3 linked regions of the Sus scrofa genome follow. The protein of the gene in region 3 interacts with the protein of the main gene of each other region in a biochemical or structural test. Links are inferred from orthologs where the notes say so. Each region holds a gene or a part of one and is shown on either strand. Other genes may lie near its edges.

The links. The genes of interacting proteins can lie anywhere in the genome.
Region 1: the proteins of OCRL (region 3) and RAB6A form a complex in vitro, tested with the Homo sapiens proteins (2 studies listed by BioGRID and IntAct, with this or other methods). The link is inferred for Sus scrofa from reciprocal best matches to the Homo sapiens genes OCRL and RAB6A.
Region 2: the proteins of OCRL (region 3) and RAB8A form a complex in vitro, tested with the Homo sapiens proteins (2 studies listed by BioGRID and IntAct, with this or other methods). The link is inferred for Sus scrofa from reciprocal best matches to the Homo sapiens genes OCRL and RAB8A.

What each region holds. Positions count from the first base shown.
Region 1 is NC_010451.4:8,195,758-8,200,873, reverse strand, and holds the start of RAB6A (ras-related protein Rab-6A), read left to right. Parts: upstream 1-1,661; 5' UTR 1,662-2,285; coding exon 2,286-2,355; intron 2,356-2,651; exon of another isoform or gene 2,652-3,088; coding exon of another isoform or gene 3,089-3,110; intron 3,111-5,116. UniProt on the Homo sapiens protein: The small GTPases Rab are key regulators of intracellular membrane trafficking, from the formation of transport vesicles to their fusion with membranes.
Region 2 is NC_010444.4:61,446,897-61,451,719, forward strand, and holds the start of RAB8A (ras-related protein Rab-8A), read right to left. Parts: upstream 3,456-4,823; 5' UTR 3,431-3,455; coding exon 3,307-3,430; intron 1-3,306. UniProt on the Homo sapiens protein: The small GTPases Rab are key regulators of intracellular membrane trafficking, from the formation of transport vesicles to their fusion with membranes.
Region 3 is NC_010461.5:106,169,370-106,174,211, forward strand, and holds part of OCRL (inositol polyphosphate 5-phosphatase OCRL-1), read left to right. Parts: intron 1-1,699; coding exon 1,700-1,810; intron 1,811-2,459; coding exon 2,460-2,625; intron 2,626-2,883; coding exon 2,884-3,119; intron 3,120-4,842. UniProt on the Homo sapiens protein: Catalyzes the hydrolysis of the 5-position phosphate of phosphatidylinositol 4,5-bisphosphate (PtdIns(4,5)P2) and phosphatidylinositol-3,4,5-bisphosphate (PtdIns(3,4,5)P3), with the greatest catalytic activity towards PtdIns(4,5)P2.

The DNA of each region.
Region 1 (5,116 bases), on a different chromosome or scaffold from region 3:
TGTCCTTTTTCTGTTCCCGAATCCAATTCAGGTTAAAACTTAAAAGTTTAATTATCATGATAGTTATATCCATATTACACTTAACTGTCATGTCTTTGTGGGCTCCTCTTGAGTGTGACATTAACCTTCATTCTTGGGGTCATGAACTGGGTTGAAAAATCTGATGAAAAGTATGGATTCTGTCCACAGAAAAATACACATATTGTAGACGTGTAATTTAAGGTAGTTCCACCAATAGCAGATTCAAAAGGGATTTGAATCCTTTAGGAGGACTGGGTGATCTTTAAAATGTCCACTTCAGGAGGGAGTTCTCACTGTGGCTCAACAGTAACAAACCTGACTAGTACCCATGAGGACTTGGGTTCAATCCCTGGCCTCACTCAGTGGGGTAAGTATCTGACGTTGGCATGAGCTGTGGTGTAGGCTGCAGACTCAACTTGGATCCCGTGTTGCTGTGGCTGTGGCGCAGGCCAGCTGCTGTAGCTCTTGATTTGATCCTTAGCCTGGTAACCTCCACATGCCACGGGTATGGCGCTAAAAAGCCAAAAAAAACAAAAACAAAAACAAAAAACAAAAAAAACCCCAATAAATAAATACAATATCTACTTCAGGAATTCCTGCTGTGACTTAGTGGGTTAAGTACCCTGCCTTGCCTCTGTGAGGATTCGGGTTTGATCTCTGGCCTTGCTCAATGGGTTACGGATCCTACAAAGTGGAAACCTCCAGGGTAGATCTCAGAAGCAACTAGGATCTGGTGTGGCTGAAGCTGTGGCATGGGCCTGAATTTACAGCTCCAATTCGACCCCTAGCCCAGGAACTTCCATACGCCACAGGTGTGGCTGTTAAAAAAAAAAAAAGCCCACTTCATCAGGGGCATGCTCTACCACGAATTTGTTGTGTGACCTTTTTGCAAACTTGTTTTCCTACCTGAGCCTCAGTTTTACCCTATGTTTACATGATATCTAAATCCTTTTCGATCACAGTAGAAGGTGGGCTCACCTGGGCTGGCCCATCTGAGGAAGAGAGGTTGCTAACAGAAGGCCAAGCCACATCAGGCCAAGGATGGTCTTATCAACTAGCAGGTTGCAGAAGTTCAATGGGGGAAAAAGACAAAACCTGGCTTCAATTTTACTGTTCTGTGGGTTTTGTAAGTCATTTCCTTCCTACGAGCTTCAGTTTCCTCATCTGTAAAAACGTGGAGGCCCTGCTTCTGGTAGTTATGAAACTCCTGGGAGCAGGAGTGGAGAATGTACCTAGGAGGGTATCATGGCAGGAATTATAAGAAGAGGTTGGAGAAGGTGGGGGCATAGGTGAAGTGGGGCTCGCAGGAATCTGAGGCAGGGCTAAAGGCTCAGAACTAGGAACCTTCTAAACACCTTAGTACTCTCTGACTTCATCCGCTCTTGTAGGGGTCAATTCCACCTCCACGCCGGCCCCGCCTCCACCCCGCTTCTCTCTGTTCTCCTCCCCTCAGGCTCGGACGCGCCACACTACACATGGCCGCCACTGTGAGACACTTTCCACCGCTCGAGGGCAGCGAGCGCGCTCTCGCGCCGCCACCTCATTCCCATCCTTGCCCGCCCTTGACCTCTTCCGATTGGCTCATCGTATAAGTGACGAAAGCGCTCCTTACTCCACCCTTTGGGTTCCTCCAGGCTCCACCCCACCTCCCCGCTTCTCCCGACGCGAGCGTACACCTAACCACCCCCGGTCTCCGCTGCCGCGGAGCCGGGAAAGCAGGCTAAACCAGGAAGACGCCGTCTGTGGCGCGCACGCGCACGCACGCACGCACGCACGCTGGGGCTGGCGGGGCGGCAGGCTCGTGCCCGGGCTCGCCCCGCGCCGCGCCACAGGCTCGCGCACTCAGCAGGTTGGGCTGCGGCGGCGGCAGCTGAGGCGCTGAAGCGCTGCGTGTGAGAGGTCCCAGGCGCGTCTGCGGCTCCGGCTCCTCCGCCCTCACCCCAGCCTCCGAGCCGGGTGCTGAGAAGGGAGCCGCTCTGGCCTTCGGACCCCTGAGCACTCCCCTGGCTGCTTCCGACACCGCCTTCGTTCCCTTCCCAGCCTCGGGCCTCGCTCGGTGCTAGGCGGCTCTGAGGGGAGGCGGCGGCGACGGCTGCCTGTCTGTGTCGAGGGGCCCTGCCCTCCGGTCTTGCTCCGCTCCGGGCCCTGCAGCGGCCGAGAGAGCTGGGCGCCCGCCCATTCTCTAGCCTCTCCGTCCACTGCTTGGAGCCGCGTCGGTCCGGGAGGTCTTTGGGCTGAGGCGGCGCAGCTCCTCCGGCTCCATCATGTCCGCGGGCGGAGACTTCGGGAATCCGCTGAGGAAATTCAAGCTGGTGTTCCTGGGGGAGCAGAGCGGTGAGTGCGCGGCTCCCCCACTCCTGGCAGCTGGCCGCGGCTTCCCCGCACCGCCCCCAGTGCGGCCCTTCGGCCGCGGAGGCTGCTGCGGCCCTCGCGTTCGCCCTCCGCCCCCTGCCCCGGCCCCGCGTCGGCCGCCCCCTCGTCGCCCCCCGTGCTTCCTCGCCGCGATCCGTCGGGCGGATTTTGCCCCTTCTGGCCCCGACTCCGCCGGCTCCTCTCCCCGCAGCCCGGCCCTCCCCTGTCGACGTGCCCTCCCCAGTCCTCACCCCGCCCAGCCTCCTGTCCATCCCTTTCTTCCTCCGGTCTCCGTCGTCTCGCCAGCTCCCGCTCCCTTCCTTGAGCCCCACCCTTGTTCCTCGCTCTGATCCCGGTCGGTCAGCCCTGCGAGGCCCACCGGCGGGACCCGGCTCTTTGGAACCTCGCGCCGGGAGGGGGGATCTGGGCGTTGTTTTCCCCAGAGGCTTGGCCCTGAGAAGTGCAGATCTTCTGGAAGGTGGAAAGTGGGGAGTCCTAGAAAATTCTTGGATTGTTTTCACCTGGGTGGGGGGTTGGCCTGGGTTCCAGAGGGTCCACGTCGGCCTTGGAGGCGACTTGAGGATGGAGTGGTGGGGGAGTGAGGGAGGGGCGGCGGCAGTGGCGATTTTTACCCGATGGGCTAGGCTGCGGCTTGTTGGAAAACCTCGTTTTCTTCTCCTGACTTTCATCCTTGACGATCCTTTTGGCCGCGTGGATGCTTTTCCAGTCTCTGCCAGGTGCTATGTCATGATCGTTTTACTTGGAATTTTTCACATCTCACCTCTCCTTTTTCTGTTTTAACACGAAGCGGGGTCTGATTCTCCTCACAGTGGAGCAAACAGGAATTACTGGGGAAATGCTAATTATTCCATTTCTTTTTGAGTATTTTCCAATGATAGATTGAGGATTCCTGTGAGAGAAGGCTTTAGGATAACGAACATCTTTGTTTTGTAGGATTTCCTTTGGGGTCAGGGAGTAAGAGAGAGAGAAGAGATGGGTTTTTCATCTGGTTATCTAAGTTAGATAAATACATGATACCATTTTGGCGAAATGCTTCTTTTATGGTTAATATTCCACTGTATCTGATGAGTAAAATCATTTGTTTACCTGACCATGCTTCTGCCGTCATTGTACTTTGTGTTAGATAAAGGTCCTTACTTTGTGTTAGATAAAGGTCCTTATTTTGTGATGGCTGCTGTCTCTAAAATTACTTCTTGTGGTAATTCCAATTTTATGCTGTGTTATACACACTTCATACTCTGCAGTTTAGAGGTGATCACCCTTCATTGTTTTTCTCTCACTTTTCCTGGCTGTCTTTAAAATTGAGACAGTGAGAGATTAGTTCTTACGAAGTCATTAGACATTGTTATCTGTTAGGTGTTTTAGGTTAGGCTATAGAAGACATTTATTTCTTTTGATTGGGAAGAAGATAACTGATGTTAATTCAAGGCTTTTGTTACTACTTTGAACTATTTACACTAATTTGTGTGACATTAAAGTAGGTTAATAATAGTTGCAAAATTGCTTCCAATTAGACCTGAGAAATCATTTTTCTCCTTTCATACATAATTTTTTTCTCCTTGTTGTCTTACCAAGTTTCCTCTTTGTTTATTTTTTCTGAATTTGTTTCTTTAAGTAACTTGAGACCTGTGAGGTTGATCCTTGTCCAGGTATTATAACAATTTTAGGGCAGTGCCATTCATAAAATATAGCTATTGGTCATTATTGATAGGATAAGTGCTTATTGTGCACTCTAGGGATGTTTTTGCCTGCCTGATGTTGTGATGCAGAGATATTTAGTTTGCATGAAAAATCTCCATCCTAGGAAAATTTTAGTATGAATAGTCATAACTTAAGTATCTGCAGGTTTCCTTTGAATTTCTTGGGTATTTACTTCTAATTCTCATTGCAGAGTTTTATAGCTTCTCATTTCTTAACTTCTTTAAGTCTTTACTAAATCCCCTTCCTGCCAATTCCTGAAGCCATCTTAGATTTTTTTAAAAGTAAACTCAATTTTGTTAGAACAGTTTTAGATTTACATAAAAATTAAGATAATGCAGAGAGTTCACATAGAGTCCCACCCAATTTCCCTTATTATTAACATCTTTCATTAGTATGGCACATTTGTTACAATTAATGGACCAATATTGATGCATTATTAAGTAAAGTCTCTAATTTATTCAGATTTTCTTCATTTTTATCTGTTTCTGTTCCAACATTCAGTTCAGGATACCACATTACTTTATGGTTGTCTTTCTCCTTAAGCTCCTCTAAGTTTTTTTAAAATTGTGTTTGCATGCTTTTTAACTCGGTGGAACTGTGAGGTTAATTATCTTTGAGGCTGCTATATTGCTAAGTAATGTCATCCAGTAGCTTCGACAATGAAAGATTGATCTCTTTTCACAGGCAGTGTCTGTAGTGTTCTTATGCATTAGCAAAGGTCTGTAGAATCCATGTCATCTAGATGTAACTCTTCATGAATTTTTTATTTTTAGGTTTTGGAATTCCACAATTCAGCTTTCAAGACCAATCTGTGGCAAAGCTTTGTCTTCTTAATAGCATTTACCACATTTATAATTCTTATTTTTTTGTGTTTTTTTTTTTTGTGTGTGTGTGTGTTTTTGCCTACTTCGCACAGCAGAATGCAAATCCCATGTGATTTAAAAACTATTATTTTTTTGTTCATTGTATCCCTGGTGCCTAGGATAGTGCCAAGCTTGGAGCTGTACTCAGAATGAATGAT
Region 2 (4,823 bases), on a different chromosome or scaffold from region 3:
CCCTGGCCCCAGAGTAAAGGGAAAACAGCTGCCTGAGTGCTCCAAGGTTCTGCCTCAACTGCTCAGCATCTATGGCTCTTGCCCTCCTTTCTGGCCACGCTGCCTAAGCATGTTCCAGCCTCAGGCCTTTGACCCTTGCTCTCTCCCCTCCTGAAATTTTCTTTCATTCCATCGCCACTTGGCTCCCCCCTCTCCTTCTCTCAGGTATCTGTTCAAGTCACCTCCTCAGGGCAGCCTTTCTAACCATCCTCTCTCTCTCTTTGCTTGCTTCTCCTTCTTCATGCCCTATTCCTCCCTCTATGTGTTTATGTGTTCCATGAACCTAGAAGCAAAATTTGAATGACCTGTGTGGAGGGGGAACAGCCGGAACAGCCATATCCAGCCTTTGCCCCTGGGGCCGGTGGTGGTGGGGGGTGTTCTAAATCTCCGCCTATGAAGCCTTGAGATTAAGTCCTGGCTTGACCCCTTAGAACCCAGGATGGGGATGCTAATTCCATCTCTGTTCAGCTCAGAAGCTGTCCTAGGGATCACAGGGAATTTAAGTCTGCATTTAAATTCTGCCCACTAGAACTTAAGCTCCAGGAGGGTAGAGGCTCACACGTCTTAGTCATGGTTGCATCTTCAGTGACTAAGCAGGCAGGTGCTGTGTATGTATTTGCTAGAAGCTGATCACCCAGACTGGCACACACATCCTAACTACAGGCCCTGTTAGAGTTCTGCTTCCCCCGATTCATCCAAGTCATTCCTGCAACCCCTGTACTGAGGCGGGTGCCTGGCACGCAGTGGGCACTGTGGAAAGATGGTTGGATGCAAGAATAAAGAGCGATGGGATCTATGTGGTGCTGCACCATTTACTAAGCACTTTCAAGTACATCATCTGTCTCCCTGAAGGAATGAATGAACAAGGCCCAGAGGAGGAGATGGGGGCTGAGCCAGGCTAGGGAGAGCTGACTCTAGGAGCCACCGGGCCAAGTTCACACCACAAATGATCGATGGAGCTCTTGAGAACAGTCTTTGGCAAAACATAACCTGGGCACAAAATGAAGAGTCACTTAATCTCTGATCTATAAAGAAAATTCAGAGGTACGCTCAGTGCCGATAGAGAATAGCCTCTATGCATTAGGTTGTATTTCAGGACTAAGCTGCGCAGTGTTAACTCTTCCTAAAACATCCCCACTCCTGTGACAGATGGCATAGGGACATACAAAGTCAAAAGCTCTGTTCAATGAACAGAGCCCAAAGCATCACTCTGTCCTACCCTCCTCCTGGGGTTTATTAACACACCAAATTTAATTAGGAAGTGTAAACTTTATGAGGCCCAAGAGTTATGAGGCCATAACTTCAAGGTCAAAGGGAATTAAACTTTCCTAGAAGACAGAGGCCTGCAGGAAGTTTACAAATATAATGAGAATATCAGGGTAGGAGAGAGGGATTCTGGGTTCATGTGTCACATCCACCTCCTTAGATGACCTTGCCCAAATTACATCCTCATCTGGAAATGGAGGCCGGCCTTCTCAGAGCCCTAAAGGGCTAGCCTTGCTTTTGTGGTCAAGAATTTAAAACCCAACAAAAAAATTCAACCTCCGAATTGATCTCACTAGGAAGGTTCTGACTCTGGGAAACTGAAGTCTGGGTTGAGGGTGAGCTGCAGTCTACCAGGAGTTGATATCACTTCCTGATAGGTGGGGATGGAAGGGTTACCCCAAAATTTGACCTTGGAGTTAGGGAAGGGGAGGAATCAGAAACATCTGTGCCCAGGGAAGAATACTGTCATTATAAGAGACATTCTGCTTCCTTCCTCTGGCAGTGGTGACAACCCCCTTATCATTATACAGTTCTGATCCTCAACCATCCAGGGTACTGGCCAAGGCAAAGAACACTAGTCCTACGGCTCAGAGAGGCAAAGTGCTTGTTAAAGGACGAACAGCAGCTGGGAAACAGGCATGATGAGTTCTAGTCCAATTCTCTTTACATCTGGCACCTAAGTATCTTGCAAAGTGCAGCTCTTGGAGGCTGGCAAGGATGGAATTAGCAGCTCACTGTGGGGTTCAGGGAGATAACATACACTGGGGTAAAGCAACACCTACTCCCTAGTTTTTTTCTAACCCCTGGGCTTGGTGACCATTCTTCTGCTTCCCCATCCAGAGCAGGGCTGCAGAGCTTAGAGGCCACTCTGCCTGATGGGTGTTACTTCCCAGTCAAACCTTTTCATGCAGGCAATGGCCTTTTTTCTGGTGAGAAGTCAGCTCCCACTTTTTGTGGATGTCAGAACTGAGAAGCAACAGGTCAGTTCTGTTCAACCACAGTGTGGGCTGGCCCTGTGGGCAAGGCTGTTTTGCAAAGTGACAACTGGTGTCCTGGCCCTAGTGATAGGGAAGTTGGGGCTGTCTGTGGCAGTGGCTGATTTTGGTTTCTAAGCTGAAGCTTTTATCTGGCATCTCCTCAGGATGACAGGTCCCAGGGCAGACAGCTGTCACTTGCCATTTCTGTTACCCTCTAGTGGGATGGAAAGCTGGGCAAGGAAAGTCTCTGGACTCCCTCTCATCATTCTTTCCAGAAGAAATTCATCTCTAGGGGAAATAGGATCAGGGAGGGGGCTCAACCCCTGAATATTCCATTATAAAAGAGCAGGAGAGGTCTGGGTTGGAGTCCTGGCTTAGACATGGATCAGCTATGCTTGTCCTGGGGAGTGAGTGCTCACATCTCTCTGGGACGGTTGAGCCTTGAGTTTGGGGGGTCAAACACACCTGGGTACAAATACCATCCTTGCCACCAGTAGACTGTGTGACCTTGGGCAAGTACAGTCTCCCTGAGCCTCAAATGCCTCTTCTGTGAAAGTAACTCATAACAGCACTTGACACAGAGGACCAGGAAGTGTGATCATGCACGTAAAGCACCTGACACACAATAAAAGCTCAATAAAGTTAGATGTCACCTGTCACTGTCCTTTCCCCATGGACAACTCCACATTTCTACGTTTATAAGTCAAAGACCCCAAAGACTGCTTCGAGGGCCGATGCAAGAACAAGATGACAGGGCGCCAAGACTCTGTCCAGGACATACACTCCCTGACAAGTAGGCTGAGGATTGGGGCCTCAGTATTCCCATCTGCAAATTGGGTACCTGACCCTCACCCCCGCCCCATGGCCCAGGAACCCCCAAAGGGCGGTGCAGGCTACTGCTCCTTCCCGCTCCGGCCTTCTCGACCCTCTCAGATCTCGGGTCCATCCCGCTCAGCAGCTCCCTCAGTCCCAGCCCTCAGGGTGAGAGCCCGGCCTGGGCCTTCCGCGCTCCCGGCCCCACTACCTATGGTGGAGATGAAAGTGGAGTTGAAGGCGTCCTCGGAGAAGCGGAACAGGACACAGGTCTTCCCCACCCCCGAGTCCCCGATCAGCAGCAGCTTGAACAGGTAATCGTAGGTCTTCGCCATATTACACTCTCTCCCCGACGGGAAGTGCGGCCAGCGCCTCGCCACTGGCCCCTGGCCCAGTCCATCAGCGCCGATCCCGCCCCCCATTGGCTCCTGGCCCGCCGCGCGTCACCGCGGCCGACGCCCGCCCCCGCGCCCCGCCCGTCTCAGGAAGACGTGGGGAAGGGGCGAGCAGGGCGCAGAGCCGGAAGCGGCCTGAGGGCGCCGCTCATTGGCCGGCGCTCAGGACAGGGCGGACTGCGATTGGCCAGTGGTGAGGAGTCGAGGGGCTTCAAATGGGGACAAGGCTGGGGCATGGCATCTCTGTGTCCCCGCCTTCTTCCTCTGACTCTAGGGCGGCCACGCCCCCCGATGGGAGGGGGAGGGCGGGCAGCTGGGCCAACGGCTCCGCGCGCCCTCAAGCTGGGGCGGGGTCTGGGGAGCGTGCGCAAGCGCGCCGGGAAGGCCGTAGTGTGCCAGCAGAGGGCGCACGCGGGTGGTGGGGGTGTTCTCTGGCTCTTGCTGTTCCAGGCCGGAGCAAGTTCAATTAGCGTCGGGTCCAGCGCGGGAATGTGGCGTGGCGGTGGTGGTGCGGTCTGCAGGCTTCCGTGTCAGACCGGGCGGAGCCGAAGAGATAGGAGAGCAGAAGTACCGTCATAGTCGAAACGAGGCCCCCTCGAGACTTGCTCCGGGGCCTTGACGCTGGCCAGCGGATCTTCCTAGAGACACCCAGGCCTCAGCCACAAGCTGCGCCCCGAGGTCCGCAGGACTCCTCAGGATGCTCCCTTGGATCTATTTAGAGGTTGCCCAGGACTTGTCCCAGAGCCTCTCCCGCCGCGACCCAGTCAGCCGTCTGAGTTGCACCCTGGAGCCTTGGAACCCGCCGAGAGAGTTCGGATAGTGAGAATTAGAGGGAATACTAAAGAGCTTTTGGTTCTGTGCCTGCCAGTGTTGTCAGCACTTATAAAAAAATTTATAAAATATTTTGTCCACACCCCAACCCACCGAGGTAGGTATTATTGTGTGTGTTCACGCTTCCCCCCACCAAGTTTTACGGTGAGAAAACAAGACTGAGAGGTTAAATGACTTTCCCAGGCTCTTAACCAGATAAATTGGTTTTTGAACTCAAACCGAACAGCTTCAGAGGCTAAGGTCTTGATCAGATAGTTTTCTGCGTGGTAGGGATGAGCCACATCACTTGGGTGGACTCACCGCCATGTGTCACTCTGGGCTATCAGGCCTGGAGGCTTCCCAAGGATCTTGACAAAAGATGACTGCTGCCTCTCCTCACTGTCCCACTTCACATTCTTTGGCTAATCTGGCTCTGGTTAGGAAAAGCTTCAACCAACCAGAGGCAATGACCACCTGGCTGCATTCAGCCTCTGTGGCATTTGATACTATTGACCACCTCCTC
Region 3 (4,842 bases):
GCTGTGGCTCTGGCGTAGGCCAGTAGTAACAGCTCCAATTAGACCCTTTACCCTGGGAACCTCCATATGCCGTGGGTGCGGCCCTAAAAAGACCAAAAAAAAAAAGTTGTAAAATGTTGTAAAATTATTTAAAAAGTATAAAATTCTTCTTAACCTAACACTATACTAGAGACTCTGGTGACGCTAGTGATTGCTTTTGTTTCAGTTTTCTAAGTGTTATGGTTCGGATTTGTAAAAAGCTCCCCAGTCTTTGAGATATTTGGCTCAAAAATATTGTTATTTTCCATATTTGCTTTACAGCCTCTATTGCATACATCAGTCTTTTTTTAATTAAATTGGTGAAGTTTTCTATTCTAAGAAATGAAACTGGAATCTAAATAAGTAAAAATGCTATATTAATTATGTTCATTTGGTGCATCCGTTTGTATAAAGTTTGTTTGTTTTTTTATGGCTGCACCTGGGGCACATGGAAGTTCCCAGGCTAGGGGTCGAATAGGAGCTGCAGCTGCTGGCCTATGCCATAGCCACAGCCACAGCGGATCTGAGCCGCATCTGTGACCTATGCCGCAGCTTGCAGCAATGCTGGATCCTTAACCCACTGATCGAGGCCAGGGATCAAACCCACATCCTCATGGATACTAGTTGGGTTCTTAACCCACTGAGCCACAAGGGGAACTCCTGTGTAAAGTTTTAATAGTTAAAAAAACATAGCTGTATCAGGAAGCTGAAAGTGCTGTGTCAGATGGGAGGGTGTTTTTGATTAGTCAAGATGATTTGTTTGTCTGTTGTCATCCTTTTAGTCTAATCTGGGACATTTTTTATCAGCCATTTTCTAAAATGGCCATAGGGTCTATTTACTAACACACCTTTCATGTAATCTGAGCATTGATATTGTGATTCTTAGCATTGTGCATAACAGCTAATAGACTTAAATGCTGTTGTCATTTTTCTGCTGTTTTAGCACTTTATGGTCATTGTCAGAAATAGTAATAGGTATGTTTTGTCACTGTCAATATGTACGGAGCAGGAAGTAATTTTTAGCACAACCGTCACATTTTCTCCACCTCCAGATAACAATGGAGCAAGAAAATATTCTTCCCAAATAGTTATTATTGCCAAGCTTCTTTGCACAGAGGTTTAATTTTTCTAAGAAGTTAATCATTTAACCTTACCTTTACTTAAAGTTTGTGATCCTTTAATGCTTGGTTTTTTGTTTTTGTTTTTGTTTTTTGTCTTTTTGCTATTTCTTGGGCCGCTCCAGAGGCATATGGAAGTTCCCAGGCTAGGGGTTGTATTGGAGCTGGAGCCACCGGCCTATGCCAGAGCCACAGCAACGCAGGATCCAAGCTGCGTCTGCAACCTTTACCACAGCTCACAGCAACGCTGGATCCTTAACCACTGCGCCACAACAAGAACTCCTTAGTTTTAATTTATGTTTGTTTTAGTGACTTTTTAAAGACGATTAGATTCTTAGAGATATATGAGTTGAGAGCACATAAGACTAAACTAAGGACCTGTTTGTTTTTTCAGGTAAAAGTTGTGGGTGAAGCAGGATTTCAGAAAGTAATTGAGGAGATTGTTTGTACCACAGTTGATTTGAAATGATTGCTGTAATGACCAGTTTTAAACTGTTAGGTAATCTCAAAGGAAGATGAGCTAGGAGCATGTAAGACTGAAAAGAGGGTTCTTTTTCTTTCAGGTGAAGGTTGTGGATAAACGGAGATACCGGAAAGTGTTTGAAGATTCTGTACGCATCATGGACAGAATGGAAAATGACTTCCTTCCTTCATTAGAACTCAGCCGGAGGGAGGTGAGCAAACATACATGGCCACCCATCTGCTGCCCATCGTGGTTAGCACAAGGGAAATTATGTTTCTTACTAGGAACAGGCAGCACAGGAAAGTTGTGAAGGCTGTGTGACCTGAGGGCATACTGCCTCCATTCCAGCCCCAGCACTGCCATCTGGTAGAGGTGTGACCCTCGGCGAGTGTCTTACACTCTCAGAGCCACAGTTTCTTTTCTGGATAAAGGGGCGGTTGTGAGGATTACACAAGTTAATATGTGCAGGGCCCTTAAAACAGCGCCTGGCACGAAGTGAGCCCTCAGGTGGTAGCCACTCTTATCTAATATTTCGGAGTCGCTGGCTAATTCATATCTCAGGGACCAGACTTGGTCACGGGATGAATGCCCTGACCCAAAGTCGGGTTACCCTCTTCGGATCCCAGGACCAATCAGAGTAGCCTAGAGAGGTAGCAAGAGCTGCCTAGCTGCCCCTCTGTGTCGTGAGTATAATAATACAAGAGCAGGATGGTGGACAGCTGGCTCATTTGGTGACTGTGTCTGGCAGTTGCACACCTGGTTAATTACCCTATTCTTTATTCATATTCTCTATGGAATAATCCAACTGACGTTCTTCCCCTACTAGTGATGCATGTTTGTGTCTGTCTGTTATTCCCCAGTTTGTGTTTGAGAATGTGAAGTTTCGGCAACTACAAAAGGAGAAGTTCCAGATCAGCAACAATGGACAGGTTCCCTGCCATTTTTCTTTCATCCCTAAGCTTAATGACACCCAGTACTGCAAGCCATGGCTTCGGGCTGAACCTTTTGAGGGCTACTTGGAGCCAAGTGAGTTTCCCCTTTACCATCGTCTCTGCTTGCGATGTACCATCTCCTCGTGACTCCCACCCCCTCCCTTTGTTTAACTTCTTGTATTCTAACCACACGTCTCTTACCTTCACTGTCATTATATTGGGGCTCCCTCTTTCACGTGTCCCCTTGCTCCTTCATCACTTGATTTTTTTAGAAGACACTTCTTCTATTGGTTCTCATGCCCTGCTTTTCCACTGAAAGTTTCTGTTACCACACATCATGTTTACATTGCAGATGAGACTGTGGACATTTCCCTTGATGTGTATGTCAGCAAAGACTCTGTGACCATCCTGAACTCAGGGGAAGATAAGATTGAAGATATTCTTGTCCTTCACTTGGACCGAGGCAAAGATTACTTCTTGACCATCAGTGGAAATTACCTCCCAAGCTGTTTTGGTACATCCTTAGAGGCTTTGTGCCGAATGAAAAGACCAATCCGAGAAGTTCCTGTTACCAAACTCATAGACTTGGTAAGAGGCATCCTAAGACATGAATCTCCTTTAAGTAGAGCTTTCACAGTACTTAAGTCATGTTCTCCTTTTCTCTGTGCTTTCTCATTGGACGGGTCTGGCGGTGCGGTGGGTGGGGGGGTGCGGATGGCAAGTGATAAGTAAGAATGTCCCTTTACTCCAGCACGCCTTTCATTGGATTAAGCCTAACAGGAAAGAGGAGAAGCTAATCTGTAATTAGTTCCTGTCAGGAATGTAATAGATCATGCGAAGTTCACTGAATTAGATTAAAGCGTCCCTTTTCAAAGATAGAATGCTTACTTGTTACAGGCCTCCTCCTTTCAAGTCATTTTTGTATAAATTAGCATGTATGTGAGGTCCAGTAAGTGGGGCGGGATGGTATTATCCTCGTTAAACATGTGAGAAAACTGAGGCATAGAAACAATAACTTGCCCGGAGTGGAATAAGTTAGCGACAGATCTGTCGCCCAGATTTTCTGACTCCAGTCCAGAGCTCCTCACTATATCATCATATATAATCCAAGACAAACTCAGCTGCTTGTTGGGGCCCAGATCATACATGTGAACCTCAGAGAACCTGTTTCAGAATCCACCCCCCACCTCGCCCCCCGCGAGGTCCTTACGCAGGTACAGGCCCCTCCCCTCACTCACCTGGCCACGAAATCAATGCCTTAGGGTGTGACGCCTAGGGATCTGCATTTTATCAGCATCCCAGGTACAGTATGGTGCCCCGAAGTTTGATACAAGTTCAGTGTGACTCATTTAAGAAAGGAAAGGAGGGGGACCTCCCTTCCCCAATGCCAAGCTATCCTCGTGATGTCCTTATGGAGGAAGTGCCTATTATCTTCAGAAACATAAACTGCCTTAGTAACAAATTCATCCTGTTAAGAACCTTTCTTTTAAGTGAAAATATTGTTGGAGTTGTGTGTAGACCTCTTTGGGCTATGAAAGTGTATTCTTGATCTTTTACCAAAGGAAATTAGATGGCCTGACAGCCATATGTTATCATTCCCGTTAGTATTCACATTGATTTTTTTCAGCCTAGCCAGAGCAGTGATTGTATCATCTAGCGGGGAGGGCTGGACCCGCCAGCAGGCTGCTGGCTGGTCAGAGCGGGATCTGTTCTGTTGCCATGGAATTGTTTCAGTGATGACTCAGACGGCCGATTAAAACCCTTGAGTTCAGTCCCAGCATTCTTTCTTGGAATTACGCTTGTTTCCCTAGAGCCCTGGTGAGTGAGTGTATTACCCTTGGTTGAGAGAGCCGTTTCCTTCAGAAATTGATATCCTGACATTGTTATTTTCCGTGATACTTATTTTTCTTCTACCGTGATATTCCTATCTTTTAAATGTATTATTTACCTTTTAGAATATGTTCTAAAAAGAAATTGTTTTCTTTTTCCTACCCACATCCCTCCATCCCAAACACCATTTGCCAGCTTTCTTTTTCCTTTTATTATGAAAATGGCAAATGTGTAGAAGAATCGAAAGACCAGTGCAGTGGACACCCACATGCCTTACACCCACATACACAGACATGCACTTGTTTTTTGCTATACCATTTATTTTATTTTATTTTATTTTATTTATTTTTTTTGTCTTTGTCTCTCTTTAGGGCCACACCCACGGCGTATGGAAGTTCCAAGGCTAGGGATCCAATCAGAGCTGCAGCCGCCAGCCTATGCCACCGCAATGTGGGATCCAAGCCGTGTCTGTGACCTAGAC